Notamacropus eugenii: one gene and its partners. The protein of the gene in region 4 purifies or fractionates together with the protein of the main gene of each other region. This does not show direct contact. Links are inferred from orthologs where the notes say so. Each region holds a gene or a part of one and is shown on either strand. Other genes may lie near its edges. The genes, in order: HIC1, CHD3, BCL11A and MTA1.

The links.
Region 1: the proteins of MTA1 (region 4) and HIC1 purify together in Homo sapiens (affinity purification with western blotting; 3 studies listed by BioGRID). This does not show direct contact. The link is inferred for Notamacropus eugenii from reciprocal best matches to the Homo sapiens genes MTA1 and HIC1.
Region 2: the proteins of MTA1 (region 4) and CHD3 purify together in Homo sapiens (affinity purification with western blotting; 7 studies listed by BioGRID and IntAct, with this or other methods). This does not show direct contact. The link is inferred for Notamacropus eugenii from reciprocal best matches to the Homo sapiens genes MTA1 and CHD3.
Region 3: the proteins of MTA1 (region 4) and BCL11A purify together in Homo sapiens (affinity purification with mass spectrometry; 4 studies listed by BioGRID and IntAct, counting the BioPlex papers as one, with this or other methods). This does not show direct contact. The link is inferred for Notamacropus eugenii from reciprocal best matches to the Homo sapiens genes MTA1 and BCL11A.

The regions. Positions count from the first base shown.
Region 1 is NC_092873.1:40,122,067-40,130,152, reverse strand, and holds HIC1 (hypermethylated in cancer 1 protein), read right to left. Parts: upstream 3,214-8,086; 5' UTR 3,090-3,213; coding exon 3,053-3,089; intron 2,582-3,052; coding exon 393-2,581; 3' UTR 262-392; downstream 1-261. UniProt on the Homo sapiens protein: Transcriptional repressor. Recognizes and binds to the consensus sequence '5-[CG]NG[CG]GGGCA[CA]CC-3'. May act as a tumor suppressor. Involved in development of head, face, limbs and ventral body wall.
Region 2 is NC_092873.1:78,011,626-78,018,956, reverse strand, and holds the start of CHD3 (chromodomain-helicase-DNA-binding protein 3), read left to right. Parts: upstream 1-4,316; 5' UTR 4,317-4,357; coding exon 4,358-4,622; intron 4,623-5,621; exon of another isoform or gene 5,622-7,331.
Region 3 is NC_092872.1:644,360,711-644,368,811, forward strand, and holds the start of BCL11A (B-cell lymphoma/leukemia 11A), read left to right. Parts: upstream 1-4,688; 5' UTR 4,689-4,752; intron 4,753-4,779; exon of another isoform or gene 4,780-6,310; 5' UTR 6,311-6,427; coding exon 6,428-6,482; intron 6,483-7,439; exon of another isoform or gene 7,440-8,101. UniProt on the Homo sapiens protein: Transcription factor. Associated with the BAF SWI/SNF chromatin remodeling complex. Binds to the 5'-TGACCA-3' sequence motif in regulatory regions of target genes, including a distal promoter of the HBG1 hemoglobin subunit gamma-1 gene.
Region 4 is NC_092872.1:324,142,603-324,150,451, forward strand, and holds the start of MTA1 (metastasis-associated protein MTA1), read right to left. Parts: upstream 3,075-7,849; 5' UTR 2,997-3,074; intron 2,886-2,996; exon of another isoform or gene 2,677-2,885; 5' UTR 2,532-2,676; coding exon 2,504-2,531; intron 2,327-2,503; exon of another isoform or gene 1,829-2,326; coding exon of another isoform or gene 1,822-1,828; intron 1-1,821. UniProt on the Homo sapiens protein: Transcriptional coregulator which can act as both a transcriptional corepressor and coactivator. Acts as a component of the histone deacetylase NuRD complex which participates in the remodeling of chromatin.

The DNA of each region.
Region 1 (8,086 bases), on a different chromosome or scaffold from region 4:
GGGAGCGGGAAGACGGGGCCGAGGAACCACAGGAAAAGGCGCGGCTGAGACCGCGGCGTGGGGGGCGGGGCAGGGTCGGGGTCTCCTTTGGTTGAAGCTATTATCAAAAATAGAAATCTCCCTTTCCCACCCCCACCCCCCACCCCCCACTCCATTCCCGGGCCTCCCCCCCTGCCCGGGCCAAGGCACAAAGCGGTTCCGCCCGGTGTGGCCTCGGGGCCGGCCGGGGAGGGGCGGGGGTTAGCGTGGGGTGGGGGCCGCCTCGGTTGCTCGTTGCCGTTGCCGCTGTCCCTCCCGGGGCGGGAACTTCCCTCCATCGCCCCCGTTTCCCACCCCACCCGGCGAGGGGGGATGCGGTGCAGTCCCCGCTCGGGGCTGGGGTGAAGGGATTTCTAAGTAGGGGAGAAGCGGTCAATGGTCCGGCCGTCGGGTCCCCCCGCTAGGTGCGCGCTCTGGCTCAGCACCTCGGCCGCCTTGTCCGGGCTCAGCCCCAGCTGCTCGGCCGTGAACTTGGCCAGCGGGTAGAGGCTCTCGAGCGCCGCTTTGGGGTCGTGCAGGAAGTGCGTGGTCTGGGCCAGCAGCTCGGCCGCCGCCGCCGCCTTGTCTTGTTGTTTGAGGCCCAGCTGCTCCGCCGTGAGCCGGGCCACAGCGAACACGCCCTCGGGGAAGTCGAGCTTGGCTTTCCCGTCGGGGCCCGCCAGCGGCCCGGCCGGCCCGCCGCCCGCGCCCACGGCGTGCATCTTCATGTGGCTGATGAGGTTGCGTTGCTGCGCGAACTTGCCCCCGCACACCTGGCACTCGTAAGGCTTCTCCCCCGAGTGGATGCGCATGTGCTCCGTGAGCCGGTACTGGCGCGTGAAGCGCATGCCGCACGCGTCGCAGGCGAAGGGCTTGAGGCCCAGGTGGCTGCGCATGTGGCGGGTCATGGTCCCGCGCTGCGTGAACTTCTTGCCGCAGATGGTGCAGGGGTAGGGCCGCGTCAGCCAGTGCGTCTTCTCGTGCTGCCGAAGGGTGGCCGGGTCCTTGTAGCTCTTGTCGCACGAAGCGCAGCGGTAGGGCCTCAGCAGCTCGCCCAGGCCCCCCGGGCCCCCGGCCCCCTTGTCCCCGCCGCCGCCGCCGAAGGGGGGACCCAGGCCCGCCGCGCCCACGGCAGCCGCTTCGGCCGCCTCCGCCCTCCCGTAGAGCGCCTCCTCCTCCACGTGCGCCTCGACGTGCGCATTGAGCTGCTCGGAGCTGGGGAAGCCCTTGTCGCACGGGATGCACACGTAGCGGTTGTCGCCGAAACTCTCGGGCTCCCCGTAGGTCAGATGAGGGCAGTGGTAGCTGGCGAGGTGGCCCCCGCCCGGGCTCGGCTCCTCGCTGCTGCCTGTTTCCTCGCTGCTGCTCTTGTAGTCGTCCGCGTCGGGCCCGGCTCCGTCCAGGCCCACCCCCGGGTAACGGGGCGGCGGCAGGGGCAACGGAGGGCCCCCAGGCGAGTCCCCCTCGTCTGCGGGTTCTTCAGCCCCGCCGGGGGAGCCGCGGTCTCGCACGAGCTCATCGCCGTAGCTGCCCAGGCCGGGCTCGGCCTTCATCCAGCGGTAGATCAGCGCAGGCCCATCGGGTCGGCCCGGGGGCTCAGGCCCGGGACTGCCACCCGGCCGGAAGGGGTCGAGAGGCGGCCCGGCCTCCTCCATCTTCTGGAAGGGCAGGGGCAGCGGCAGCGGCAAAGGCAGGGGCAACGAGAGCGGCGGCTCCTTGTAGACTGCCCCAGGTGGGCTGCTGTCGTGGCGCGAAGGTGCCTCGCGCTCACGCTCTCGCTCCCCGGGGTGCGGCCGCTCGGGGGCAGCCGCTGGACCCGGGGGGCTCTTCTTGGACAGGTCTAGGCCGCAGAGAGGGGAGCAGCGGCGCTCTGGGGCGCAGAGCGACGGCGGCGGCGGCGGTGGCGGCGGCGGCTGAGGGGGCGCAGGGCCCGAGGCGTAGAGCTCAGCACAGTGGGTATTGACAGGCGCCTCGGCTCCTGGAGGCAGCTCCGCGGCCGAGGCCTGCGGCGCCGGAGGTCCAGAAGGCGCGCCACCCGGGTAGCAGGCCTGGATGACTGGCGTAGTGGCACGCAGGCCCCGGCCAGGCCTCACGTAGGGCGCGTAGCCGCCGCTGCCGCCGCCCCCGCGCAGGTGACAGTACTTGCCGTGTCGTTTGAGCCGCTTTTTGCACAGGGATACGAGGTCTGGGATCTGCAGGTAGCTGGCGGCGGCCAGTACTGCTCCCAGACTGGGCTCGGCCCCAGGCGCCGCCGCCGCCGCCGCTCCATCCGCGCCGTCGGCCAGGCGGCCGGTATAGATGAAGTCCAAGACTAAGCGAAAGACAGCGGGGCTGACCATGTCATGGTCCAGGTTGAGCAAGTTGTCGTGGACCACCAGGGACTTGAGGTAGGCGCTGCTGGCCGCCAGCACGTTCTTGTGAGCCCTGAAGAGCGCGTTCTGCACCACGATGATCACGTCGCAAAGGAACCCTTTGGTGCGTTGGCTGTTGAGCTGCAGCAGCAGCTGTCTGGAGTGTCCCGGCGCCTCCATTGCGTCCAGCATCATCTGCCCTGTGCTCCCACCTGTGGGGACACACGCGACACGACAGGACACGACACAACATACGCACACACACACACACACACACACACAAGCACAGACAAGGTCAGAGCGGATGCTTAAGGGGTCTCTCTCCACCCCACTCCGCTCGCGTAGCTTGAGTGAGCGCCCCCCCTTCTACACCGCCTGCCTCAGACGGGGGACACGGGAGTTGCCCTGCTTGGCCCCCATCTGATGACCTGGGTCACCTGAGCCCGAGAGACAGCATGACCTAGACCCCAGCAGGAGGGAGGGGACCAGAGAAGCAGGGAATGAGCTCGTCCCCACTCCCTGGGGCAGTCTTCTTGGTAGAAGAGTCCAGTGGAGAAAGGGACTGAGTGCCTAAGGCCAAGGCCCCACTACAGAAGTCGGGGGCCGGGCAGGGATGGCAAACGGGGAGTTTCCAAAAATAAATCCACTTAAGAGGGGATAATTTCCGCTTCGGAAGGAGTTACCCGATTTCAGGGAAATATCCGCTTCAGAAAAAGTCATTCAGTCCAGAGGGGAGTGTCTCATTGGGGGCAAAATTAGCCGATCGAGATGAAATTCGTAATTTCGCAAAAGTCCGGGTTTGGGAAAAGTTAGCGGGTTAGTGGGGAAATGCTGTGGGTGGTGGCATCGGCATAGGCATCGGCATCGGCATCGGCTTCGGCGGCAGCCAGTGGGTCGGGGGCCAGGCTCGGGCCGAGGCTGTTAGAGGCTCCTCCACGCCGGGCCGGGCCGGGCCGGACCGGGACCCGGGCCGAGAGGGAAGCAGCTACCGCTGCCAGGGCCGGGGCCGAAGGGGAGCGGCTGCCGCTGCCACCGGCAGAGCGCGAAGGGCCCGGGCCGCCTGCGGGGAGGGCGTTATATCGGGGCAGGAGGCTGCAGCAGGAAGCAGGTGGGGGGGAGGGGGGAGCCACGCAGCTCCCGGGGGAGGGAGGGGGCAGCGCCCCGGGCACGGCGCGGACCCAGCGGCCCTGACCCCGCGCGGATCGCCTCGGCGCCCCGCCCGCCGGCCGGCCCGCTCCGTCCCGGGAGGCCCCCGAGCTCGCTCCGGAGCCCCTGGGCTGCTCCGCCCGGCCAGCCTGCCCAGGGACAAGAACTTGGGAAAAGTTTCTCAACTTGGGATGGGCCGGGAGCCGGAGTCAGGCTAGCGGGCCCCTCCCGGCGCGCCTCGGCCCTTCGCATCCCTCGCCCAGCCCCGGGTTCCAGCCCGTCCCGTCCCGTCCCCGACTCCACTGGCGGCGCCGCCTTCCCCGAGCCGCCTCGGCCCGTTACCTGCGGCCCCCGCTCCCGCCGGCCGGCCGGCCGGACTCCGCGCTCGCTCCTCGATCGCTCGCTCCGGGCCGCCCCGCCCTCCCTCCGGCCGCCCCTCTGCCAGGCGCCGGGCCGTGCCAGGCCAGCGGCCCGCTGCCAGCTCCGCCCGCCCCCCCCCCCCGCCCATGTGCGGGCAGAGCCCGGGCCCCGAGCCGCTGACCCCCTGGTGAACTCGGCGCGGCGGGCGGCCCGGGAGAGGATGCGCCGCGCTCCCCCCGGAACCCCGAGGCAGCGCCGCGGAACGAGGCAGCCCTGGCCCCGGGCTCCCAGCCCCGGCCCCGGGCTCCCAGCCCCGTCTCCAGCCCCGACCCCGAGCCTGCAGTCCCATCTCGGCGCCTGGCCCCGGGACCCACCTGGGGGGCATGTCGGAAGCCCCGAGCCCGGCTGCCGGCTGATCCAGGTGGAGAGGTGGCCGCGCTCCGCTCCGTCCGCCGGTCCCCCGGCCGGTACGTCCTCCCGCCCGTCCGTCCTCCCCGCGTCCCGGCCGCGTCTCAGCCCCGCCGCCTGCTCCGCACACTCTTATCTGGAGTGGCCCGGGCCAGTCTGGGCTCCTGGGGGATGGCGCCACCTGGCGGCCTCGAGCGAGCACTGCAACCTCGGAGCCGGGAGGCCCCGCGCACCTGGGCCCTGGGGCGCGCAGGTGCGCCCCCTCGTTTCCCCACGCCTCTCGCAGCTGTGTCTCTGGAGGGCTCCACCCCCACCGACCCCGCCTCGCGGGACAGATGCCGCCCCAGGCCCCGCGTAGCGTGAGGAGTCAGGGATGGGGGAAAGTTGGGATGCGCCCCATCCCTACCCTCGCACACGCGCCCTTACACACACACACGCGCACACACACACTGACACACCCTAGCCTCAGTTCCCAAGGGGGTGTCTCAGGCAGGATTGGGGAGGTGAGTCTAAAAGAGACCCCCAATCAAAGCGTGTCCAGGACTGTGGACATTGCCAAAGAGATTGAGGATCTGGCTTCAAACTGAACGATCCGCAACTAATTTTGTGACCTCGGTCAAGTCACTTCCTCTTCTCTTGGCCCTAGTTTACTCCTCTGTAAAATGTGGAAATTGGCCTAAACGAGGTTTGAGGGTTTTGCTGGCTCTGGAAACTTTTTGTATTTCATTCAATTCTACTCTGCAGTCGAATACACAAAGACCATCACACTGTGTGGAATGTGCAATAGCCCCCACCTCGGGGATCCGCGTACGCACGTCTGAGCACCCGGCACCCAGGCTTTCCTACAGACTGGACGCTCCCTCACGCCCGCACAATGCTTCTCACGCGCACTCGCTGCCGCCGTCGCCTCATACTCATCCTCCTCTTCCTCCTCCCTACTCATCTCACAACTTCAACGGGTGCTAGAGATACTACGTCTCAGAGACCAGGCAACAGACTGAGCCTCTACTGATGTCCCTTAGGTGGAGTGGCTTGTTGGGGGAGAGGTGGGGAATGGACAATGTTTACACTAAGGGTCCAGGCGCAGGGTATGTGGTGTGTGTGTATGTGTGTGTGTGTGTGTGTGTGTGTTGTGTGTGTGGACAGACACGCTTCAAACCTGCGCTTTACAAGGGAGATACTCTCCTCCCCAAGGTGCGCTTGACTCCTTTGGGACAGTCTCCTCCCCTTTCCTCCTGCAACAGCCCTGGATTCCCCAGCTGGAAGACGACTGTGCCAAGAACGATCATGCCTCCTGTGGAGGCGAGGCGAGGGTACTTTGGAGCAGCAAGCAGCCCAGGGTATACAAGGGTCTTTTACACGTAGACAGAGAGCCCAGCCCTAAAATCTCCGTGTGCCCCTTCTAGACAGCCCAGTCACCCCTAGCCTAACCCTCCTGCTCATCACAACAGAAGAAGCTGCATTATACTACCCATTACTGCGGAGAGGGGGGAACTGTGCCCCCTCTCACTTCGCCTATATGTTGGGGTAGCGGGGTCCCCATGTTGGGCATTCGGCGTCCAAAGCCTCTGATCGGCTCCACCGTCCCCCATCTTCTCCTCCCTTACAGTGGAGAGGGTTGTGGGGGGCGGAGATGATGGCGGCGGTGCGAAACGTTGCCATAGTAACCGATGAGGTTTGTACAGATCTCTTTCCTCCAAGGCCTTAGGGAACCTGGCAACCGGGCCGGGGGCTGCGGTGGACAGGAGGCGGGGCGCCCTTCGTGTTCTCCCGCCTCCAGTTCTGTCCTCAGCTGGTGGCCCCACTGGGAGGTCGGAGCTGAGTCACCCTGCGGTGGGCATAGGCGGGTATCATGAAGTTAGTCCTCGGGCGTGGAGACAAGTTCCCCTGGAACCTCTGGTGCTCGGGCACCGGACAGAGCCTCAGGGCTCTTCTCTGGATCCCTTCCAACCAGGTGACTGGTTCTCACTCTGCCCTGAGCTTTTCCCCAAGCCCAGAGCCTGGAGGGTCTCAGTGCTGTGGAGGGACTACCTAACAGCAAGAGCTGTCTTCAAGGAACCCTGGTCCACCCGGAGGCCCGGAACTTTTTTATCCCCCGTTAATTTTCTAAGTTCCAAGTGCTACCGCCTTTAGTGCCCCTAGAGCAGACACCAAGGTCTTCGGCGCCCTCCAGAGGTGCTTCCAGTTCTCTGCGGATTCACCTCCGGGCTGGTTTTTGACAACTCCCCATCCCGCCCCCTTGTTGCTCAGACCAATCTCCCCGTTTGAGACGCCCGTCTGGATTAGGAAGAGTACCACTATCCCCATTCAAGGTCTGGGCTTTGGGGTCCCAAATTTTTGTCTCCACTGTCCCATCTCCATGCCTTGTCTTTCCTACATCTCTACCCCGTCTCTCCACCCCTCTCTTCCCAGGCTCTTCTTATCACTCCTTCCCAGTCTCCACTTCTCTCCTGGATCTCCATGCCTCTCTTCTCTATCTCCCTAGTCCCTGTCTCCATCTCTTCTTTAAATCCAGCATCCCTTTCATGGCTATCTCCATCATCTTTACCCTTTCTCCATCCTATCTCCATCCACCTTTTTTCCTATCTTTTGATCTTACTCTATCCAAATCCAAGTCCTCATCCTCTACGCCCTTCTTCAACTACCATCTACTCTTTTACTTCTCTCCATCCCCTTCTTTCCTGTCTCCATCCTTTTTCTGGTTCACTATCTGCATTTCCCTCTGCCTTATTTCCATTTTCCTGCCTTCCAGTGTTTCCATCCTCATTCATTGTCCCTATCCCTCATCCTACATCCATTTCCTCTGATCCTCTCTGTTTTTCCCTATTCCCCTCTCTACTTACCTCTCTTCATTCCACAAGCCCTTAATCTCTGCCTCTCCCCTTACTCCCCAAATCCCCCCCCCAAGATTCTAGTCTTATGGATCCAGGACTTCTTAGGGCCTTCTTAATATTCCAAGCAGCATTTAATACTGCTCTCTCTCCTCTCCCCAATTCCCGGGCTCTATCCTTCCCAATATCTCCTAATTCTCTAACATCTACCATTTCTCTTTAAGACCTCCTTTGCCTTCCACCCCACTTCCATGCTTTGATCAATTCCCTACTTGATTCTCTCCCTTTTCCCTCTCCAGGAGGGCATCATCTCTGCTCTTTCAAGTTTCTCTTTCATTTGAGGGGATGGGGTGCAAAGCAGAGAAAGATTATGCTCCTTGCAGAGGAATCCCTTTTCAGCCAGGCCTGCTTGCTCCATCAACCTTCTTGCCCAAGTCGGAACCATCACCCTTCCCCCACACCTGTTTTCTTCATGTGGTCATTATCCCTTTCCATTCCTATCTGCCCCTCCTAATTCTGACTCTCCCTCTGAGATGACCACATTAACCAATCTGGCCAAGAAACCAGACCCATAGCTCTGCCCTCAATAAAAAAGGTCATTTTCAACCCATCTCTCTTCGTCCTCCTCCCCTTCCTATTTCTCTTACAGAATCTTTTTTCTTCTAGTCTGAACTAATCTCATCCATTGCAATGGCTCCATTTCACCCATGAAACTTCCCTAACTAGATGAGAAATAGGCACAGGCTTAAAGAACATTCTCCTCCTTGCCTTACCTTTACCATGCCTCCCCCACCATTGGATGAGCACAGATGTCTGCATTTGCATGAATCTCTTACACTCCTAGGCAATGAATGGCAAAGAACAAGGTGCTGGTCCTACACCTCACCCACAATCCTTTGCATCATCTACCTTTCACCCTTCACCCCACCCACCCCAGGCCTCACTTTAAAGTCTTCTTTCTCCTGACTCTAC
Region 2 (7,331 bases), on a different chromosome or scaffold from region 4:
TTCCTATCTTTGATTTAAGTTAGCTTTTATTATTAGCACTGTAATCCCATAGAAGATAATTGTCCAATTTCTAGTTTCTACTCATTCCACTATACTTGTGGGCTTCCCTTTTCTCTTCAGTTGAGCTATTTTCCCATTTTTGATAGAGATTAACTTCCCCCCTTATAGCCTTTAATTAGTTATGTATATTTGGGGAGGCACAATGACAAACATATACAGGCAAGAGATACTGACAGAGAAATTGGCAGTCAGGTAAGAAGTGGGCCCGTGCACAGACAGAACAGAGGGACAGATAATAGAAATACTATCTCTAGGCACCTACATGGAAAGAGAGGAGAAAACTGTGGAAAGATTGATCTGGAAAACAGAGAAGTACAGACTATAAGAAACCAAATAGAATGGCTGTCAGCGGCAAGCAAACACCGAGAAAGTAAGACAGACAGATGGACTGACATAAAAGACAGGCAAAGTGACAATCAGCCACACAGAAAGACTATAAGGGAAAAGCATAATGGAAATGAGAGTTGCAGGAAAACTAAACAAGACAGGCAGTAAGATGGGCAGGCAGAGACAAACAACAGAGGTAGCAGGTAAGCAGAGAGATTTAAAGACTGAGAGACAGAGGCAGGCAGTCAGAAGCAGAGGCAAACCAAAAGGCAAATGAGTAAATAGACTAAACAGAAGAAAGCAGAGAGAAAGAGAGGCAGGTGAGCAGACAGGTGGGCAGAGAAAGTGACAGACAGAGTCAAGGACATCAGAAATGATACACCAAAGGAAAGGCAGACAGACAGATGGAGAAGGCAGATGCAAAGAGGCAGCAGGAAGAGGGCAAGCAGATGGGGGTGGGTAGAGGGATAGGCAGAGGACTGAAACAGAAATAGGGGACATGGAGTGGATGAGGGAGACAGGCAGGGGCTGAGGATACTGACAGGAAAGGTAGGAAGAAAGGAAAGACAGACACTCAGACAGGCTAAAGAGAAGCAGATAAATGGAAAAAGCAGATAAAACGGGGAGGAAGAAGCAGGCAGATGCTAAGAGAACACACAGACCAAAAGGCAAGCCTGAAAGGTACAGAGGACCTTTCAGAAAAGTAAAGCAAAGGAGAGGAAAATAGACAAGCAGAGAGAGATGTTTGCTGACTAAAAAAAAAATCTAATGGGGAAGGCTGGTAAAAAAAAGAAGACTGAGAATTACAAGAAATAGGTAGTCAGACAGATTAAGAGATGCAGGCAAGCAGACAGTAGCTAAATGAGGGCAGGGAACAGACAGTGGGATGCTAGCAGGCAGGTGGGGTGACAGAATGAGAGAGAGAGGCTGACAGACAATAGACACAGACAGACACAGATTGACAATAAGAGTTTATCAAGCAGAAAGACACAGAAGCAAGTAGATAGGCAAGGCAGAAAAGAGACCAAGAGATGCAGGCCAGGAGGCAGACAAGACAGCCAGAGAGAGGAAGGCAGACATGATAATAGCAGCAAACAGGAAAGAAAGTAGGCACGCAAATAGAATAGAAAGGCAAAAATCAAAAAGACCAGGAAGCAGGCCTGTTGGTGGAAGGGAAGAAACAAGTAAAAGAACAGAGAAGGAAGCCTAACTCACAGACATATACTCACAGAAGTGCTCCCACAGAAACACCCTGAGACACATACTCTTAAGCACCCATATCCAGAGATCCTGACATTTAACCCCAGACGCACAGGCACAAGTAAACATACATGAACATACTTAAAACCAGATGCACACATGCAAAGGCAAAGGAGACAGAATATAGTATACACACATGCTCTTATGCACACTATGACCCATAAGCACATAAAGACTGATATACACAGCCAGAACAAAATGATAAACAGATAGTGAGTCCAAGAATCACTGAAAGATGACAGTTGAAGAGTTACTGAGACAAGAGACAGCATGAGAGACAGCCCATGAATGAAACAGAAACAAAGGGACAAGCCCACACAGAGAGACAAAAAATGAGGGAAACTCCTTACACAGAGAAAAAAGTAAGAAACATATATTTTACACAGATATACAAAACTAAACAGAAACAGAGAGCTTGAGACGTAGAAATAAAACCAAGAGGCCAGGATGGAGAGTTGGGCTGAGGCTAGCAGAGAAGGAGACAAAAGATATTGAAACCCAGATTAAGAAAAAAAGGGAAACTGAGGCCCATAAAGTGAAGGACAGAGCCCTAAAATGACAAATTCTTGGCCCTCAAGAAAAATTATGCAAAAGTTCATCCTAGTACCTGTGGGAACATTTTTTTATGTGCATCTAAAGAGAAGTTGCAGTTGTCTGAGCTGGAAGGTTATGTCTATAGTATGAAGTAAGAGACTCATGATTCTAGGCATGTTTCAGGAAAAGATGCAGAAAACAGAACCGATAAGGAAGGGGCAAAATGAGGTCTGTGGGAAAGAAGAGAATCACGACTGGAAAGGGGTGACAAGCTCAGAGCTGAAGTAATCACTAGTCCCATCCCTTTCTCTACACCCCCATAATGGCAGTACCTCTGTCAGCAAACCTTTTAGGGGAAGTACTTCTCTTCTTTATTGATATCCCAGGTACAGAGATACTTGGTGCTTCCTCCTACCTGAGTGCAGGGCTCCCTTCCTACCCCAACTGACAAGCTCTCTTGAAATTTAACTTAGCTTCCTTGTTTGATTCACTTAGGTAGCCCCTAAAAGAGAGGTTTCTCCTGACCCCTTTCCAATTTCCCCCATCAGTATCTCATTCCTATTTTAAGAGGCCGTTTAGGTTGAAGAACTGGATGAGACAATCAGATACAAAGGTCTGATTGCATCCTCTTCTCTTTCATTTTTTCTTCACCTTAGCTAATTTCCTCTCACCTACTGTACTTCAATTTCTTCCACTTTGATGGAACTGAAAATGGGGGTGAATGAAAGAAAAAGGAGTCTGTATTGGAGAGGAGCAAATAAATTTTTTTTCTTTTTCAGATCTTGGTGCTCCCCATCCACAGCAAAATCCATTCTCTGTACCAAGATTTCATAGTAAGTTTATCTGGGAGAAAAGGAAAATGAAATGAAAATATAATTTAAAACAATTGTAAATTACTGAAATGATTTCAATAAAGAATAATCAAACATAAAACTCAGATTGAATGAAAAAACTCAGATTGCTTTCCATTCTCCACCCCCAAAGGGTTTCTATCATTAAAAAAGAAAAAAAAATCTTATAAAATACGTAAAGTTAAATGCATTTCAACTTTAACAAGGTATATGTATACGTATATATATGTATTTGGCCAGATTTATATATAAATATATGTATTTCATCTTTTTCCTTGACAATGCCTGAAGGGAGAAAAAAAAAACCCTTCACATCAAACCACTCCCTTTCTGAAGTACTTAAGGAAAAAAAGCTTTTCTTTTGAGGAGGGAGGTGGAGAGAGAAGAGACTAGTATAGAAAAGAAAATTTTAAAATCTAGTTGGACTAGTATCTAACTAGTTAACCTTTAACAATTTATGCTGATGTCAGACTGAGCATGAGTACTGATTAATGCCCCCCCAAATATTTTTATAGGTGTGTGTTGGGGGGGGAGGTTAGTCAGCAGCCATTTTTGTTTTATGCAGAAATCCTTCATGTTTCTTCCCCCCCTTCAATACACAAGGAAAATATCTATTAATCTGTTTACTAATCAGCTATGAAAAAAGGGAGACTTTTGTGGGTTTCTGGGTAGAGAAGGTTTTAGAGATGAGAAGGGGGGAACTGGAAGCATTTCTGTTGGTGGGGGTGTTAGGGGATGGGGGCTGAAAAATGAAATATTAAGCCAGCCATTTTGTTTTAAAAGCAGATTTTTTTTTTCCTCTCTCTTTCTTCTTGGAGGGGGTGGCGGTGCTGGAGGGGGGGTTGTTTTAAAAATAATTTCAGGGCGGCCATCTTAGTGCTTCAGCTCTAGGAAATATTTCTCAGCGCCCCCCTCAGAATTTCAATATATTTAAAACAACGAAGAGGGGAGTAAGGGGGGGAAGAGCAGAAAAACTTTTATTCATATAATATATATATTTACCCCCCTTTCTCTCTCTTTTGGTCTCCCAGGGAAGGGGAGGAGAAAGTCCCCCCCCTTTAATTTTTCTCAATAGTAAATTGTTTTTGGGAGGCGGTTTCGCCCCCTCCTTAGACAGAAGGGTGGGGGTAGGGGGTGGCCCGGGGGTTTGGGGGGCTGGGGGAGGAGGTGAGTTGGAGGAGGAGGACGACGACGACGAGGAGGAGGAGGAGGAGGAGGAGGAGGAGGAGGAGGAGGTGGTGGTGGTGGTGGTGGTGGTGGTGGTAGTGGTGGGGGAGGCAGGCGGGCGGTGGGTGGGGGGGTGGTGGGGGGGCCAGAGCTACAGGATGGCTTCCCCTCTGAGGGACGAGGAGGAGGAGGAGGAGGAGATGGTAGTGTCTGAGGAGGAAGAAGAGGAGGAGGAAGAAGAGGGCGAAGAGGAGGTGGAGGCGGCGGATGAGGACGACGAAGAGGAGGACGACGAGGGAGTAGTCGGACGCGGGCCGCCGGGGCACGAGCGGGGCCGCGGCCGCCACAGTCCCCCCAGCTGCCACCTCTTCCCGCCGCCGCCCCCGCCCCCGCCGCCCCCGCCGCCCCCGCCCCCACCGCCAGGTAAAGACGCGAGCGGAGGACACCCGCCGAACTCCCCCCCCTACTCCTGATCGCCGCCAGCCCAAAGTTCCGAAACCGTTGGGCGCGAGAGGGGGCTGGGGGGGTGTCGGGCAGGCGCGCGCGGAGGAGCAGGGGGTGGGGGTGGAGAGGAGGGCAGGGGAGGGAGCGCGAAAGGCACCCACCGCGCGGACGGAGAGGAGTCGAGTCCGGGGGCGCGCGGACGACGGAGCAGCCGGCCCGCCTGCTTGGCTGCCCCCCCACTCCCTCCCTCCCCGCCCGCCCGGGCCTGAGGCCGGGAAGCTTTCCGGGCCGGTGGGCCGACCTGCTGGCCGAGCGGGCCTCGCCTCCCCTCCCCCCGGCCAGCCCCCTCCCCCCGCTCTGGGGGGAGCCTCCGGCCGCGGCCGCGGCGGAACGCCGGGCGCCAGCTGAGCGGGCGCGCGGACGGAGGAGCCAACTCTTGGTCGCAGCCGGAGGGGGAGGGGAGGGCTGGTGGTGTGTGTAGGTTTGTTTCCCCCTCTTTTCTTCCTCCCTTCCTTTCTCTTCTTCGGGGGATTAGGAGCGATCGAACCCGAGACGACCCCCCCCACTCCCGCCGCGCATTCGGGCCCCGCTTGAGCTCCAGACGTCCCCCCCCTCGGCTGGCGGGGGAGGGGGAGGCGGCGGCGGAGAGTGGCGACGGTGGCTGTGGTTCGGAGAGTTCAAGCCCGTTTGGGGTTTGGCTAAATGTAAAATTAGATGGTGTCCGTATGCGTTTGTGGGGGTCGGCGTGGGGCTTGGAACGGGGGAGGGGTCCCCCCGACCACCCGAGCGCTTGTGTCCGTGAGGGCGCAGGGTGGCGGGGGGACTTTGGACACTCGCCACTGACTGGCCCGTACAGCCCCTCTCCCAAGATCTTGGAAGTGGGGGTGGGCTGGGTGCCTTGAGGGGAAACCAGATACACCCACCGACAACTCCACCTCTTTTGATTCCTTCCCTTTCCCTCCTCCTTGTGATGGTAGGCCCCTCTCTAGCTAAAGGGTGTGTATTCACCCCGGGACTCCCCCCTTCTACTCTGTGAGCCATTGACCCTCTTTTGTCCTTGAGTGACCCCACTGCTGTGGTCCTGGGGCCCCAGGGGTTGTGACTTCCCTGCTTGCCCCCATCACAGTCACCTCTGTGAGAGGATGACTGAGGGATGTGGAACACCTCACCTCCTGTGGTGTTTGTTACTAGAAGTCCCTCACTCCCCTCCCCAGTTTTCTCACACGGGCAGCTTTAGTAACTGTAGCCACTGCTTCGAGGTAACAGTTGCCTCATCAGAGACTCAGTAGCCACCCCATCTCAGACAGCCTTGTGTGGCTAGTTCCAGAACGTAATGTCAGCTTTACATGTAGAAAATGACAGATGGGACACTTTGATCCCTGTGCCTGGGAGCAGACTTCAGTAGCCTTATAGATTTAAAGTTGGAATGGAACTTAGAGGTTATGGAGTCCAGTCCCTTCATTTTAAATACGAGGAAACTGAGTCAAAGAGAGGCTAAATGACTTGACCAAAGTCACACGAGTTGCAAAGAGGTCTAGCTGGGATTCTGACTCGAAATCAAGTCCTCTTAACTACACCATGCTGCCTTACTTGTGTTTGTTTTCCAGCCCCTATTGATGAAATATGCCCAATGTTCTTAATACTGAAATACAGATTAGCGCCATGTATGGCAGATGTGCCTGTATATACTTCAGCTGAACAACAAAAGACGTGTGGGGGTGGGGGGGAGACGAATAGGAAGGAAGAGGGTCCAAAAGGGAGAGAGGAAAGGAGTGTCTTAGTGAACATGAAATAATTCATTATTTTCCCCCAAGGTCTTCGAAATAGGAAATAAGTAGAAAAAATTACCTTGTGGGGAACACGTTTTTTTAAAGTGCAAATGGGAGAATTTGGGAGACAGGTGTCAAATTCAATTAAACATTTATTCAGCACCTACAGTATATTTGCAAAGTGAGAAAGGAAAGAAAGGAGGAAAGATGGGATTAGGGGATGGATTCTTTCCTTGTCTGCTGAGTTCTCAGGTTAGATAATCCTCTTTGGTCATTTTCAAAACTAGGCTAATAAAAGAGGGGAGAGCTGGGAAAGAAAGCAAGAAAGAAACCGTCAGAGGTTGAGGTGTGTCTTTGTTTGGCTCCCTTTGCTCCCTTCTTCTGAAGCCTATTTACCTAATAAATAAGCAGATGTTTGAAGATAATAAATTGTTTCATTTTGGATTTGGAATTAAAAATAAACATTATTCCCTTCTATTTAAGGCAGTTTTGCCTCTGCCTAACCCTTCAGATTTGCGTGAGTGAAACATCCTTGTTGGGTAATTTATTGATGTAAAAAAAACTTTTGGGGAAATATATTTTAGCTCCCCTTCCTTTTTTGTCACCCCAGGTATGAGGAAGGCAAACACCAATCCTAAGAAGTTTGACCCATGTACTTAACTCTCTCCTTCTGGCCCAAACTCCCAAGTGGAATATGAATTTGTAGATTCTGTAGCTCTGTATTGTTTTTCAACCCTGACTGATTTTCCCTCATCCCCATTTTGTTTCACATTCTTAACTGAGTCCAACTTTACCTCTTTCTCCTCCCACCAACCTCTGTACATTGTTCAGTATTTCAAATCCAAAGACTCCTGTGGGGGGAGGGGAAAGAAGGGAGCCAAAACTCAATTTCTTTCCCCTCCCCCTTCTGGCAAGTATA
Region 3 (8,101 bases), about 320 Mb from region 4:
TTAGGTTCAGTATTTAAGAATAAATGCTAATCTCTAAATGATAATGATCCTTTATATGTGAATAACACTTTACTGTTTTTAGAGGGCTTTCCAGTGTGTCCTTTAATTAGAACAAAGCAAGGTAGGTATTTCCATTAGTATTTCATTTTACTGAGAAAGTAAGGTGACTTGGCCACAGTCACACAGAAGTAACAAATGCATAAAAAACCAAACCAAACCAAATCAACACACAAACAAAAAAAAGCAAAACTCATGTTCCTAGAGTCCTGACAAGAGAATTGGGAACCCAATGCAAATAAAAACAAAAATGTATTAGAAACTGATTATGTTGCTGGTGTACTGAGGTGTACTGAAGTTATATGGACAAGATTGTGTTTTCTTATACATCTCCTATACCTTCTCCCCGCACCCCCAACATGAATTAGGGGACAGTTTGAGGACACGATTCAAGCTCAGTCAGTCTTTCCCTCTGCTATTTAACATTTCCACTCATTTTTGTGATCTGCACAGTCCTTTAAAGACCTAGGAAAAGCTAGGGAGAGAGGATCTGATGTTAAGTTGTAACAAGAAAGTCTTCTCGAGGTCTGGTTTGCTCAGTTTAAGTTCATATGCAGCCTACCTTCTGTAAACCCCTCTCAGTGTCCTAAATAATGACAATTAGAACTGCAGGCTCCTAGGCACAATCTGGGGGAGAAGGTAACAAAGTACATAGTTGAACAAGGGTAGATCTTGAGAAAAGTAGCAAGGGAGAGCTGCCGCACTCTGTGGTTTTCCTTTGTCACATTTCAATTCCTTTCAAGAAGACGGTGTTCTTTCTACCTTGTCCCAGCCCCTATCCATTTAGCCCCCCCACTTAAATTTCATTTGCCCTTATATTAATAACTCCACCCCTTCTCTTCTCTATCCTCCCAAAACCCTATACACAAACTCTTCCAGTAACCCCCAAAAGTGTTCCCAAGGTAGAATAAAGAGGCATCTTTTAAAAGATCATTGCAAGTCCTGTTATCTCTCAGATATTGGAGGTGAAGAATGGGGGAGGGGAGAGAGGCAGGGACTGATTGTTTCAAAGTATGTATTTATTTTTTAGTCAATAAAAGTCCCCCCACCCCACCCCACTAAAGTCAGGCAATGAATATTTTATTTTAGCCTTGTAATTTCCATCGAGACAGATCTTTTAACTCTTTCGCCTCCAGCTGAGCTCAAGTCCCCAGCGCCAGGCAATCCTCCCCACTAGGACCAGGGAACTGTATTAAGCTCACTTTCAGGAGCTGTTTGTTGACCACATTCACGTTCTGAGCCCTGAAGCTAAAAGCACTTTACACCATAAAATAAAAGCACTGTCTTTTTTTCTAAAAGGTTACGTCTGGAGGCCACGATGCTCATACTTCATACAGAAAACTACTGAAAGGACTATGAAATCCTCTATGATTTACGCTCTCCCACTGCATTAGGGTATAGATCTACTCAGCTCTAAAAATACGATGGAGTTTCTAACCGACGTGAATATATGTGCATTATTTCAGAAAGTCTGTTAGAAAACTTGTCAACACATTATAAAGCATAAACCAGAACTTGGCTATTAAATACGGAGATCAGAGGCAGAATATATACTGCAGGAAGTCCTGGGAAAAGTCTCCCCCATTGGGGGGGGGGGGGGGAGGGAAGGAGCTATTAGCAAAGAGTTTATACACAGTATACACCAAAGGTTTAGAAAGAGCCCACGGACCATAATTACAACATAAATGGAATCAGCAAAGGCTTTACAACCCTAAACGTAGTTAACTGGACTGCCAGAAAATAATTTTAATATTGTCATAATTTATTACTCTCCAAAAGCCACTTCAAGAACGGTAAATATACTCATTGTATATCCAAGTGTGCTCGTTAAGCTTCTCTTTCAACCCCCCCTCCACAAAACACCTGCATCATTCATCTAGGCTTACATTAAAAAAAAACAAACTCTTAAAAGACCTTTTTAAAAAAGCCCCCCCCCCAAATTCCCCCCCCCAGCCCCACCCTTGGAAGGTTAAGTGAACTTCAGGTGAAGTGGGGGAGGAGGCAGCGGGGATGGTAAAGAAGAAGGCAGTACTCGTGGAGTATGGATCAGATGCCAATACAGTCATGTTAATAATCCAGACGGCATGAAATATGGCTTTAAGGGGAGGGAGGGGAGAGTTTCCATTTAATTCCGGGCATTTTATGATGGTAAAATTAAATATATGTTAATGGTGGAAACGTTACTGGTTCCCTCTCCACTGACACACACGAAAAGCAGCTGCAAAAAATTGGCTTTTTAATGTATGTTTTAAGATGTGGTTTAGGAAGTAACCCCCTGGAATCTCAAACAAGTGCAGTAATAAAGCAGACCTACTTGTAACTAAGTGCTTAATTTCCTATGATTTTTTTTAAAGAAAATCAATAAAATGTTGCCAGTTATTTATTGGAAATAACCACAGATAGATGCCCTGATATGTGCTGGCTTTAGAGAGCGCACAATTGTGTAATGAATTGTAATTCAGAAGACTGTTAAATGTGAACCACAGAACCTTTCAGAGGTAATAAAGTCATTACTTTTTACACTACATCCAGCCCTGAAAAGCTTTATATACGCCATTATAGATAAATCATATATATATATATTTTCACGACACACAGACATCTACTTATCTGCCTCCTGTATATATGGACTTTTATGGATAGATGGTACAATAATCAAATATGAAAATCCTGGGTTCTAAAAGAATGAGACAGTTTGCTTTTGTTACCTAAAATGCCTTTTATTGTGTTTAGTGCATTTTTTGAAAAGGAACACTCCGTTGCACTCCACTCCCCCAACCTTCTTTTCCCCCAATGCATTCCCCCTTTTCCGCCACCCCTCACTCAAGCAATGACATTCATTTGGTAGCTCAAAGGCTGTTTTTATAAAGAACAAGACAAAAATAGATAGTAGTGTAAGATAGATGCTGACCTGCTCTGAAGAGCCCATGAAAAAGAGGAAAATCATGTCAGGTACGTGCTACAGAGCTTTACTGCAAATGATTCCTTCCTGATTCTTAACAGGATTTGAGGGTTTTTTCTCTCTCAGAGAACAGGAAAATACACACGCACACACACATACACACACGTGCACGCACAACAAACCGCACACAGACAATCCCCCCACTCCTTCCTTTCCACAACTCTCCTATTCCTGAACATCAAAAACCTTTTCTTCTCTCAGAGGCTGCACGAAGCCTCCTTGGAATGAGAAGCCAGTCATTTTGAATCGGTTTAAAACTTTAGGAAGATGACAACCCGTTTAAACAGCAGCATGCAAGCCTACAAGACTGAAAGGTACAGATGCGCGCGCGTGCGTGCACAGTGTGTGTGTCTGTGTCTGTGTCTGTGTGTGCGTGTGTGTGCGCGCGCGCGCGGGCGAGCAGCTCAGCCAGGGGGTGGTTGAAGCTGGAGAAGCACCAGATTTAGGTAAGGTTTCCAAAAAAAGTCCACCAAGCATTTCACTTTACAGGGCCCATCTGCCCCCGCCCCCCCGGATTGGGAATATAATGGCTAGAAGAAAATAGGGGCTGTGCTGTGAGCCTTGAGGGAAGGAGAGGAAACAGCTCCTCATTCATTCAGGGGGCACACCTCCCTCCCCTTCCAGCTTTCCCTTCAGTCGGCTCCCCCCTTCTCCTAAACTCCTCACTCAAGTCTGGTCCTAGGTCTCACCGTGGCTTCACTCCATTCCTTCCTCTTCTGTTCCCCCTCCCACTTCCCATTTTTTGGGGGGTGGGGGGAGGAACAGAAGAAAGTCTGGCGGCTGGGTGCCACAGCTAGGGAGAGCAGAGGTGAGACGACTTTGCAGGCACGTTTCAGAATAAACTTTCCAATCGTAGGGGGTGCTGTTGCTGTACATTTTACGTAAAACTGAAAGTATCCCACGCCAGAGAGAAGCACGCTTTTTGACAGCGGTGGCGGCGGCAGCAGCAGCCTATGAGTGTGTGTGTGTGTGTGTGTGTGTGTGTGTTTGTGTGTGCGTATGTGTGTGCGAGCTCGCGGTCACGAGCATTAAAGAGACAGGGGTTCATTTCCAACAAGTCTCTCCTAATTTCTAAGTTTCATCAAGGGAAAAAAAAATTAAAAAGGAGAAAGGAAAGCTATCTGAGCCGTGTGCTTTCGGGGTGCGGTGGGGGGAGGGAGGAATGCATGCTTGTGGGAAGGGGGCTAAGTTCCAGCAAGGTTGGCAACCACTTTTCTTTTCTTCCCTGCTGCTTTTGTGAGCAAACTGTGAGATTCCTATTACCCGTTTTCTTCCCCTTTCTCTTTTCCTCTCCCTGGGTAATGTCATTAATACAGCTTTGCGTGTTAAAATATTTCTTAGAGTCACGGTGTAGCTTCTCTTTTCTCCAGCTACATTCATTCATTCATTGATTCATTCATTCTCCGAGTGTTTCTCCCTCCTTCCTTCCTCTCCCCCACTCCCAGTTTTTGAGTGAGGAAGACGTCCTTTTCTTCTCTCCCAGTCCATCCCAACAACAGATCGGTTTCCCCTCTGCTTCTAGTTTGTCTCGATGGGTTATCCTTCATTTAAAAAAAAATAAAGGCAATCTTTTTGGGGGAGTAGTTGGCACCCACACGCACACACATACAAAGCCCCCCCCCCTTCCCCCGCTTCTTTCCTCCTTCCCCCCACCCCCCACCCCCCCAGCTGGTACCTTACAACCTTGCAACTCGCGGGCTGCTCTCTTGGCCATGGGTGCTCAGTATTAAAGGGTAAGTTTCGGCGCGGCCGAAGCTAGTGCCGTTACCGCTGCATCTCCCGCCTCCAAGCTGCTTATCGCTCCTTCCTGAACGATTTTGCTCTCCTGGACTCTTCCCCACTCTTGTCAGTAACGGCGCTGAGTCTCAGAGTTGTGTTCCTGTCTTTATTTATTTATTTACCCTTCTCTCTCTCTTCCTTTCCGGGCCGCAGCACCTCGCTTTCCTCAGATCCGTGCTTTGCAGTTTCATTGACATTGTCCCTTCTCTTGGCACTCAGGCTTCCTTAGCCACCTATTCTGCCTGCCTTTGGGGTGCAGGGGGATGGGGGTAAGTAGGGAGATGCCGAGTTGGAGCTTGGGCTCCCCCTTTCCCCCCATCTCCCTCTCTGGTCGCTCCCCCAAACCTCTAGGATCTCCTAGTCCTTCCTCTCTCCTTTACACGCAGAATTTCTCCTTTCCTCTCTCCCCAACCTGGGAGCCCGAGGCTCCTGAGAGCCTCTGCCTTTCTGGCTGCTACGGTACACAAACTTCTTTTGCAATTAATTCTTTACCACTCTCCGCAACACCCCCTCCCCAACCTCGGGGCTTTTCTCCTTGGGTAGTAACTTCAGAGTTCAGTTATAAACTTCTGGTTTTTCTTTTCGTGCTGTTTTTTTTTGGGGGGGGGAGAAAAAAGTTTCAGAAGTGCAGATTGATATCGGCTTTCACTTCTGCTCCAGGATGCATGCACGCGGGGCTGTGTGTGAGGCTAGCTGGGGAGGGGGGACGTGGGTGTGTGTAAGGAGGGGGGGTGTCCTACAGCAACTCTACCTGGTCGGCGGCCCCCCCGCCCCCGCCTTCTTTTGCTCCTCTGTCGTTTGTCTTCATCCCTTTCTACGTACACCTTTGGCGTATTATTTAAGCACTTCTGTCTCCTGTTTTAACCTTTCTTTTTAGAGGGTGGAGGAGAGAGGGGAGGACTTTCCCCTCCCCCCCAAACACACACCTCTCCCTTCCCCCTCCCCCTTTCTTTTCTTTCCTCCTGGCCATGCCGTCTCCTCCTGTACTCGGCTGCGGCCACTTGTGAGCTCCATGCCCCCGCGCCTCCCCTGCCCCCCTCTCAGCACTACCTCCTCCCTTCCCACCCCCCCATTAGGCAGCTTGTGTCTGGCGTCTGGAGAGCCCCCCCCTCCACCTCCCCCTCCCAGCACTGTCCATTGGCTTGTCCTGGTCTCTTTTTCATGTCCAGCCCCTGATGTGTGTCCATTGGTGTTAGCCTCCCCTTCCCTCCTCCCCTTCTCTCCTGCTCGCCCTGCCCATGTTTTGTATGTCTCTGTCCATCCAGGCTCCTGACGTTCAAGTTCGCAGGGACGTCACGTCCGCACTTGAACTTGCAGCTCAGGGGGGCTTTTGCCATTTTTTTCATCTCTCTCTCTCTCTCCCTCTCTCTCTCCCTCTCTCTCTCCCTCTATCTCTCCTCTCTCTCTCTCTCTTTTTTTTTTGCCCAAAAAAAAAGCCATGACGGCTCTCCCACAATTCATCTTCCCTGCGCCATCTTTGTATTATTTCTAATTTATTTTGGATGTCAAAAGGCACTGATGAAGATATTTTCTCTGGAGTCTCCTTCTTTCTAACCCGGCTCTCCCGATGTGAACCGAGCTGTAGTTCACCAGCCGCCGCCGCCGCCGCCTCCTACTCCACAACCCACCATGTCTCGCCGCAAGCAAGGCAAGCCCCAGCACTTAAGCAAACGGGAATTCTCGCGTAAGTAACCCAATAATAATAAATAATAATAATGATGATGATGATGATAATGAGGATGATGATGATAGGGTCGGGAGTGCCAAAGAGAAGATGGGAAAGAAAGGGTGCGTGTGCATGCGTTTCATTTTATTTTTGAGAAGGGGAGAAAAGACAACATTTAAGTGAGGTGTAAAGAAATTAAAAGGGGGAAACCCACAGCACCTCAAACCGCAACCGTGCTTGCACTTTTGGAGAAGCGTGCACCTCTCTTTTCGTTATTTTCCTTCCCTCCTCTCTCTTTTCGCCTTCTTTTTCTTTATTCCTCTTTGCGAAAAGAAACACTAGGATTTCTCCTCCCTCCCCCCTTTTGCAAAATAATTAATGATAATAATGAGAGTAACTCCCAGACAACCCCGGGGAACAGGAGAAGGGGAGAGGGATTTCTTTCTCCAACCGCCGGAAAGAAAAAAAAAGTCAAAGGCTTAAAAAAAATCCTGGGAAGAAAGAGGTGAGACTGGACATCGGACGCCGGCTCCCATGGTCAAGTGTGGACCAGAGAGAAAGTAATCACAATAATGCTAATGAATGGAAAAGTGGGACTTTTAGGGAGGGGGGACGTCCCCCCTCCCCTCCTCCCCAGAAGCCTTGTTGAGAAAAAGAAAGAGGTGGAGGAGAGAGGGGGTGAGAGGGAGACGAAGGGTTTGCGTTTGCAACGTGCGGGTAAAAGTGGCCGGTCGTTGCCTCCTTTTGTTTCCGCTCCGAGGTGGGTGTCTGTCCCGCTGTCTTTTGTGCCTCGCTCCCTCCCTCCTTCTATTCCTCCCTCCTCCTCCTCCTCCTCCTCCTCGTCCTCCTCGTCGTCGCCGTCCTCCTCCTCCTCAGCCGCCGCCGCTGCCGCTAAAGGGCAGCAGGGGCAAGGGGGTGGGGGTGGGCTGGGGGAAGGGAGGGTGGGGGAGATGTGGCTGCTGCCTGGACTCGGTTGGCTTGGGTTGCTGCCGCTGCCGCTGCCTCTGCCGCCTCTGCAGCCGCAGCTCGTGCTGGCTTAGCTCTTTGCTGGCTTTCTTTCTCCAGGGCCAAGGAACGTGCCCCTTCCCCTTCCCCGCCCCCTCCGCTCCTCGCCCCGCAAAAGACACAAAACGAGCTTGGCAAAATGCAAGACGATTTTTATTTTTCCTGTCCCCAAACAGAGAAGCTAAAAACCTCAGTAGATCTACTCTGAACCGAGATTTTCCAGCGTTGCCGTCCGCTCTCCCTCTCCCCCCTCCAAAAAAGAGGAGAAAATTCGCACGCACTGAGCACAAGGGGAAAAAAAATCAAACTAAAAACCGGATCAGACCACAACCCCCCAAACCCCTTCTCTTACAAACTTAGTCTGTAGGCTGCACAGAGAGGGAGCGAGGAATTCCCTCCTCTTACTATTTTTTGGAAGATTTTCAAAAAAAGTGGAAGTGGATTTTGATTGGGAAAAATCTCGTGTCTGAATGTTTACAAGCACCGCGTGTGCGGGAGCCTCCTGCCAACAAACAGATACAGGACCCAAGCTCACCAAACCAGACCGAAAGGGAGAAAAAGCAGCAGCAGGTCCAGGTTCTTTCTCTCCCCCTAACCCCACCTCAAACAATAACAGTATGAAAAGTAACAGA
Region 4 (7,849 bases):
TTTAGGAACATCCAGTTATGAGATATGATGTGATGAGCAGAGCAGTCAGACAAGCAGAGGGGAACCAAGAGACTGGAGTGTCACAAAAAGCTTAAAGACAGAATACCCAGGGGGAAAGGGTGATAAGCAGTGTCAACAGGCGGGTTGAGAAGAATTAAGACTGAGAAAAAACATCAAAAATTGGACAATTAAGAAGTCACAGATACGGCTGTTTAACTTGAATGAGGAGGCTGGAAGGCTGATTATTAAGAGTAGAGGAAGAGGAGAAAAGAAACAAAGTGTAAATGTCAAGTGTTTTAGAAAGCTTTTCTGAGTTTGAAGTTCAAATTTCTACCCAAGTCAAAACTTGGTGAAGAAACAGAGCTGGGCAAAATAAGAACAAACTTGCTAGTACACCTTGCTATAGACACCCTCCACCTTTCCCCAAAATGTAGGCAGATGGAAGAGTTAAAAGGGCAGGCAACCTTTGAAGCCCAACCAGGATCTCTATGGCTAGCACCTCTAAACCATGCTCCTTTGGGCTTCCTTTGGAAACCCCAGGAAGCATGAAGTAAGTCAGGAAACTGGCACTGGAGGAGTATGAGTACTTTCCCCACCCCAACATTCAAGAGACCTTAGGATCTGCTATGTCCTGCTCCTACTAATGTCACTAAACAAGGCACCAGTGTCTATTTGCATCATAGTATTGTCACTCCAAAGTATTTCCAGTAATTCTGACCCAACACCTGAGCTTTTAAAGGCAAATCAAAGGGGAAGCAACTCATAAAAATTATTGCCAAAGGAAGACTACAGAAGACAAGTAGGGAAAAGGCCTATGTACATAGCAGAGTGCTGAATGAGAGAGAAGATATATATTAGCATAATCATTCTCCAAAAGTACATCATCAAAAATTTGGGACCAGTAAAAATATATCATAGGTGACAATTTAAACACCGTCTTTAAAGGTGACCCTAACTCACTACTCTTGGCAGTGACTGGAAATCTAAGCCAGAGGATTCCTTAACTTTCACAAAGTATGCTCTTTCAAGGTTACCACATCATCACCCCCATCCCTCCTCAGCAAACTACCCCTCCCCAAGCTAAAGCCACCAAGCACTATCCACTCCATCTAAACTCAACAAGATGTGCCGTTGGACCCTCATTTAGGAAGTAGCTCAGTATACTAAGTATACTTAGAAATTCTAAGTATACTTAGAAATCACTTTTAAGGAAAATCTCCAAGCTTCCAAGGTAGTCTAAATATCAGCTAAATGTTTCAGGAGTAGTTGAAATATTCTCAAATGGGCAATAAGCAATCCTAAAGTTCCCCATTAACCTAATGGGCAATCCTGTCATGCACCCTCTCTACCACAAACAAGACAAAAACGTAAGAACTCCCTCTGTTCCTCAATACACCTTCCCAGATAGACCTTACCACCCTTCCCAGCTTCACTGCAAGAAAATGATTCTAATAGAACCTATTCCTGAAAAAAAGGACACCTTTCCCTCCAAAAAAATTCCAACACCAACTGCCCCCATCACTAAAACTAAAGAATCCATTCCCTCGATGCATTTTGCTCCTACCAAAAGGTTCCCCAAAGGCCAAAATCCAAAAGAAGAGCTGTAGTAGTGCTGTCCCCATAGTAGATCCCATTCTTTTTGCTACCTAGGTCGCCCTACACCTCCCTTTCATCACAAAGTGAAACTCAGATCATCACAAAGCACCCTATACACATATTTCTAAAAACAAAAACAAAACACACACACAAACCCAGAAGCACCACTCCCCCACCACCTCCACTCCCCACCCCCCCTCCAGCCCATGCCTGCCACTTTCTTACCTTTCATATGCCAACAATTCTAGCCCCACCTTTAGCTCCGAACTTTGGCAGGTATCAAATATCCCCCATTCTGGCTCCCCGCCCCCCCAATAATATTCATAAAACTGTAAGAAAGACGAGCTCATTCCGAAAACAAGATACAGATGACCAGGGGGCATCCACAGCTTCACTCTAACCACCCGGAGTCACTCACTGACTCTCCCTCCCCCAGGCCCAACATTCTCAACAGCCAGTCCGAATGTTCGCCCCCCGGGGGGTGGGGAGATGGAGGGGCCCGGGAAGGACAGAGGCCCTCCGGATGGAGGGAGAGGTGGCTAAGATGGGAGCCGGACGGCCTGGAATGGGGGATGAGGTTCAGACCCGGCACAGGAGGCGGGATGGGGCAGCGATGGCTGGGGCCCAGGGCGGAGGGGAGGAGGATCTGGGCGCTGGCCGTGAAGGCCCGGCGGGGCCACACGGGAAAGGAGGCGAATGGAATCCAGGCCGGGCGAGCGGCCGGGGGGAGGGGAGGAGCGGGGAGCAGCAAAACCTGGGGCTGGGACGAGTGGAACGCGGGGGAGGCCCAGGGCAGGTCGGGGCTGGCCTGGCTAGAGGACGCGCTGGGTCGGGAGCCGATTCGGGCTCTGCCCGAAGCTGGGCGGGAGGCCGCGGGGCGGCAGGGGCAACGAGGAGGGGGGCTCACCTCCGACCCTGTACATGTTGGCGGCCATGTCGGGCTCCGGCTCGGGCTCCGGCTTTGGGGGCGCAGCGCGGCACACGGGGGGCTCAGAGGCCTGGCCTGGCCTGGCCTGGCCCGGGCCCGACGCTCGGGGTTCGCAGGGTGGCGCGGCGGCTCCTCCAGGTGGGGGAAATGTGCTGGAAAATGGAGGATCGATCGGCTGGGGTGGGGGCGGGGGCGGACGCTTTAAAGGGGCCGCGCTTGGTCCACCCGGCGCTGCCGCCGCCACCGCCGCCGCCCGAGGCCAATGGGGAGGGGGAGGCCCTAGAGACCCATGGGAGTGGGCTGGTCGGCTCCCGGCAGCTCCTCACCCTTCTGCTTGTCCACTCCCCACAAACTGTCCCCTTCCTCCCTCCTCAGTCTTCTTCCTGCCCCTCCCTCCTCGTCTCCCCTACCCTCTTCCCGGCCTCCCTGGCCTCTCTTCTCTCTACCGCCTCTCTCCCCTCCCTTCCCCTACCTTCCTCTCTTCTCTTCTCTCCTCCACCTCTCTCTGTGTGTCTCTCTGGGTCTCTCGCTCTCTCGCTCTCTGCCTTCTCTTTTCTCTCCTTCCTTTTCCCCCCTAAACAGGCAGGCACAAAGAAAGCAACCACAACTCCACCTACCTGGCCAAAGGCTGGGGCCTCCTGTGTGCCCCCGCCTGTGCCAAGTCTGTGGCTGGGGTCTCTCCTGCAGGCAGGAGAGCTCTACTTTCCAGGCAGAAAGGAAAGGATAGACCGAACCAGGCCAAGTGTGCATGGCCTCTCAAAATTCATTCATTCATTGGACAAAATTCTGTGTGCTGGGTGCAAGGCCCTGTGCTGGGGCTGAGGTAGACAAAGATGGAAAAAAAACAAAAAGGGCCCTGACCTCGCAGAGCTCAGCTTAATGAAGCATGAATAAGACCAGATATAATACTGTACCAAGAGAGAATCTAATCAAGGCTTTAAGAGAGGAACACATTCCCAATGCACAAAGCAGGATTCATTGTCATATTAGCAACTAATATGTCAGAGAAAGAAAGGAAAAAATAGAATCCCTTTAGCCAGCCTAATTCATTCCAAAGAGTAAGGAGGTTTAGGTTTCACCTTAAGCTTAGGTTAGTGACCACCCACTCTCCCTTTCCTCTAAGAATGATTCAGGAGGAACATTTGTTTAAGAAGGAAAATATCTTTGTAATTCATAGCTTATGACTCATGATCTTAGAGGTGAAAAGGACCTTTTTAGATGTACGATTCTCTCTGGGACAGAAACAGAAATCCCCTCTGAAATGCCCCTGGTAGGTGATGATCCTCTCAAAGACCTCTCGTTAGTGGATAAGAATTTATGAAGCTCCAATGTCAAGCACTGCAGTAAGCACTGCAAATACAAAGAAAGACCAAAAGATAGACACAGCCCTCCGAGAGCTCACAAGTTAATGTGAGAGACAACAAGCAAATGTATACAAACAAGATATATACAGGTAGGAAATAAGTAACAAATGGAAGGCACTAGAGTTAAGAGGAATTGGGAAAGGCTTCCCGTAGAAGATGGAATTTTAATGAGACTTGAAGGAAGCTAGGAAAGTCAGAGGCAGAGATGAGGAGGTAGAGAATTTCCAGGCATGGAGAACAGCTAAAGAAAATGCCTAGAGCTGAGAAATAGAGTATCTTGTTTGGAGTGTCTTGTTCATGGAAAAGCAAAAAAGCCAATATCACAAATTGAAGAGTAAGTGTAAAGTATAAGTCTAAAGTATAAGAAGACTGGGAAGGTGGGAAAAAAGGGGGTAGGTTGTGAAGGACTTTGAACACCAAATAATTTCATATTTGATCCTGGAGGTGATAGGGAAGCACTGGAGTTTTTTGAATGGGGGGTGGTGGGGAAGGGTGATATGGTTGGACCTTTACTTTAGAAAAATCACTTTTTCCTCTGAATGTAGAAAGGGCCTAAATGGGAATGCCTTTTGCCAGGCAGACCCATCAGCAGTTTATTGGAAAAGTCCAAATGTGGGGTCATGAGGGCCTGTACCTGGGTGGTGGCAATCTCAGAGAAGATAAGAGGATAAAAGGTACAATGGACAGGTCTTGGCAACAGATTGGTTATAGATTGTGAGAGACAGTAAGGAGTGGAGGATAGCTTCTAGATTGCTGCAAGCCTAAGTCACTGGGAGGATGGTAGTCATAGGGCAGTATTAGGGAACAATAATAGAGAAGAGGTATTGGGATAAGGGAAGAGTTTAGAGGGAAAGCTATGAGTTCTGTTTTGGATATGATGCATTTAAGATGTCTGCTTGACATTCAGTTTGAGATGTTTGAAAGGCATTTGAATATTCAAATATTCTAGAGGTCAGAGTTGGATACCTATCTGATGAGAGAATCATCAACATAGAGATGATAACTAAATCCACATGAGCTGATGAGACCACCAAGCGAAGTAGTATAAAGAGAGAAAAGAGGATCCAGGATGTTTCGCTATGGGAAACCTACAATTAGAGGGTATGATTTAGATAAGAGTTTCAGCAAAGAAGGCTGAGAAGGAGCAGTCAGAAAGGTAGGAGGAGAAGAACCAGGAGAAAATTGTGTCCCAAAAAACTAGAGAGAAGATAAATCAAGGAAAAGAGGGTGATTGATAGTGTCAAAGGTTTCAGAGAGGTAAAGAATATATATTTAGAAAAGATCAGTAGATTTAGCAATGAGGAGATCTCTGGTGAATATGAGATTGGAAGCCAGATTGTAGGGGATTAAGAGAAAGGTAAGAGGAGAAAAGTGAAGGCACCCATTGCAGATGATTTTCTCAATGAGTTTAGACACAAAGGGTAGGAAAATACAGGATGATATCTAGTAGGGATAGAAGGATCAAGTGAGGTCTTTTTGAAGATGATGGAGACATGAGCACATTTGTAATCAGTAGGGAAGGAACCAACTGACAAGGAAACACTGAAGATAAATGAAAGAGTAGGGATGAGAGAACTGGCAGTCTTTTGGAGAAGACAGGATGGAATGGGATTAGAGGGACACCTTTTTTTAAGACAGATGAAGGAAGATATAGTGACAGAAGGCATGTATAGAAGATGAAAGAAAGGAGAGAAATAGTTCATGATGAATGGCTTCAATTTTTTCTATAAAATATGTATCCAATGCAGTAGATAGGTCAAAAGGGATATGGATTGAAAAAAGAACATTATTGCATTCACTGGTAACTTTGGAAAGAGAATTTCAGTGTAATGATTATATCAAAAGCCAAATAATAAAGAGTTGAAAAATTAATCAATTTGAGAAATGAGAAAGTGGAGGAAAAGAGTGTAAGAGTGTGAGAAAGGAAGGAGAGATAAAGAGTATTAGTTTGAGGAGATAGAAGGGTCTAGTGAAGGTTTCTAAAGATGGAAGAGACTTGGGTACGTTTGAAAACAATAGGAAATGAACAGATAGGGGAGTTTCTTAAGATTAAAAGAGAGAAAGAGGACTGTTGAAACTGAAAAATCTTCTAGAGAAAATGAAAGGGGATGCGTCTTATAGAAAGAATTGGCCTTAACAAGGAGAAAGACCACTTTATTGTTGAAGATTAGAGAAAAAGGAAAAGAGATGATACCAAGGTTTTGGGTTTTTTTAGAAAAAGAGAAGGTTTTAATGCTGAAAGGCCTCGATTTTCTTAGAAAAGTAAGAGGTAAAGTCTTCAGCTAAGAAAGAAGGAGGAGGGAAACATATGGGAAGCTTAAGGAGAATAAGAGAACTTGACAAAGCATGTGTAGAAAGTGAAGGAATCATTTAGGGAGGAATAAAAGGATTTCCTTGCTAATGTGAGGACCTGGTTGAAGTTGTATAACAATAGTTTATAATGTACCCTCTCATGAGATAAGCTAGAAGCCTTTCCAATAAGATTAGAGGTGAAGCAACAATTCCATTATTGTTATTATTTGACATTGTACTGAAAATACTAGCTATAGCAATAAGACAAGAAAAACTGAAAGACAGGCAAAGGAGCAGGACTACAACCAAGAATCACCTAACAGGCAAAATTAAACATAATAATATTTCAAGGGAAAAAATGGTCATTCAATGAAATAGAATTTCAAACTTTTATAAGGAGAAGACCAAAATTGAACCAAAAAAATGTGATCTACAATATCAAGACCCAAGAGAAACCTAGAAAAGGGAAAAGAAAACATAAGGGATTCAATAGAACTAAACTGTTTATATATCCCTACCTTGGAAGCTGATACTTGTAATTCATAAGAATTCTGTCACTACCCATCAATTGGGGAATGGCTGAACAAATTGTGGTATATGATTATGATGGAATACTATTGTGCTGTAATAAATGATGAGCAGGATGCTCTCAGAAAAACCAGGAAAGAGTTGCATGGACTGATGTTAAGTGAAATATGCAAAGTACAAAGTAACAGCAACATTGTAAGATGATCCGCTGTGAATGACTTAGCTATTCTCAGCATTACAATAATCCAAGACAACTCTGAAGGACTTATGAGGAAAATTCTATCCATCCCCAGAGAAAGAATTGAATACAGTTCTGAATACAGATTGAAGCATTTTAAATAATATAATCAACAAGTTAAAAAAAAAAAACTCTACCACTAATAGTAAAACTAGAAGGAATATATATAGAGGGCATGGGTATGAGGTGAATTTGAGGGAATGACAAAAAAAACTAAGGGATGGGAAAGAAGAATATACTGGGTGCAGAAGGAAGGGAGAGGTAGAATGGTAAATTGATTCACTTGAAGAGGCATGAAAGACTTATTACAGTGGAAGGGAAGATGGGAGAATGGGTGATAGGGATTACTTAAACCTTACTCCCATCAGAAGTGACTCAAAGAGGGAATAATATACATAATCAGTTGAATATAGAAATCTATTTTACCCAACAGGGAAAGGGAAGTTGGGAGGAAATCAAGTAAAAGGGGGAGAGTTGGGGACCAACAGAAGTGGGGGCAGATTGGGAGAGGCATAAACAGAAACAAAACACTGGTGAGAAGGGAAAGGGTGAGATGAAAGAGTACAAACAGGAGGAAAAATAAGATGGAGGGAAATTCACAGTAATCACAACCATGAATAGGAATGGGATGAACTCCCACAAAATGGAAGCTAACAGCAGAGGGAATAAAAAAACAGAATCCTACAATATCTTGTTTAAAAAAAAAGACACTTCAAGCAAAGAGATACACACAAGGTAAAGGTAAGGGGCTGAAGCAGAATCTAGCGTGCTTCAGCCAAAGTAAAGAAAAAAAAGGCAAGTGTGGTGATTCTGATCTCAGACAAAGCAAAAGTAAAGATAGACCTAATTAAAAGAGATAAGGAAGGAAAACTACATCTTGCTAAAAGGTACCATAGATAATGA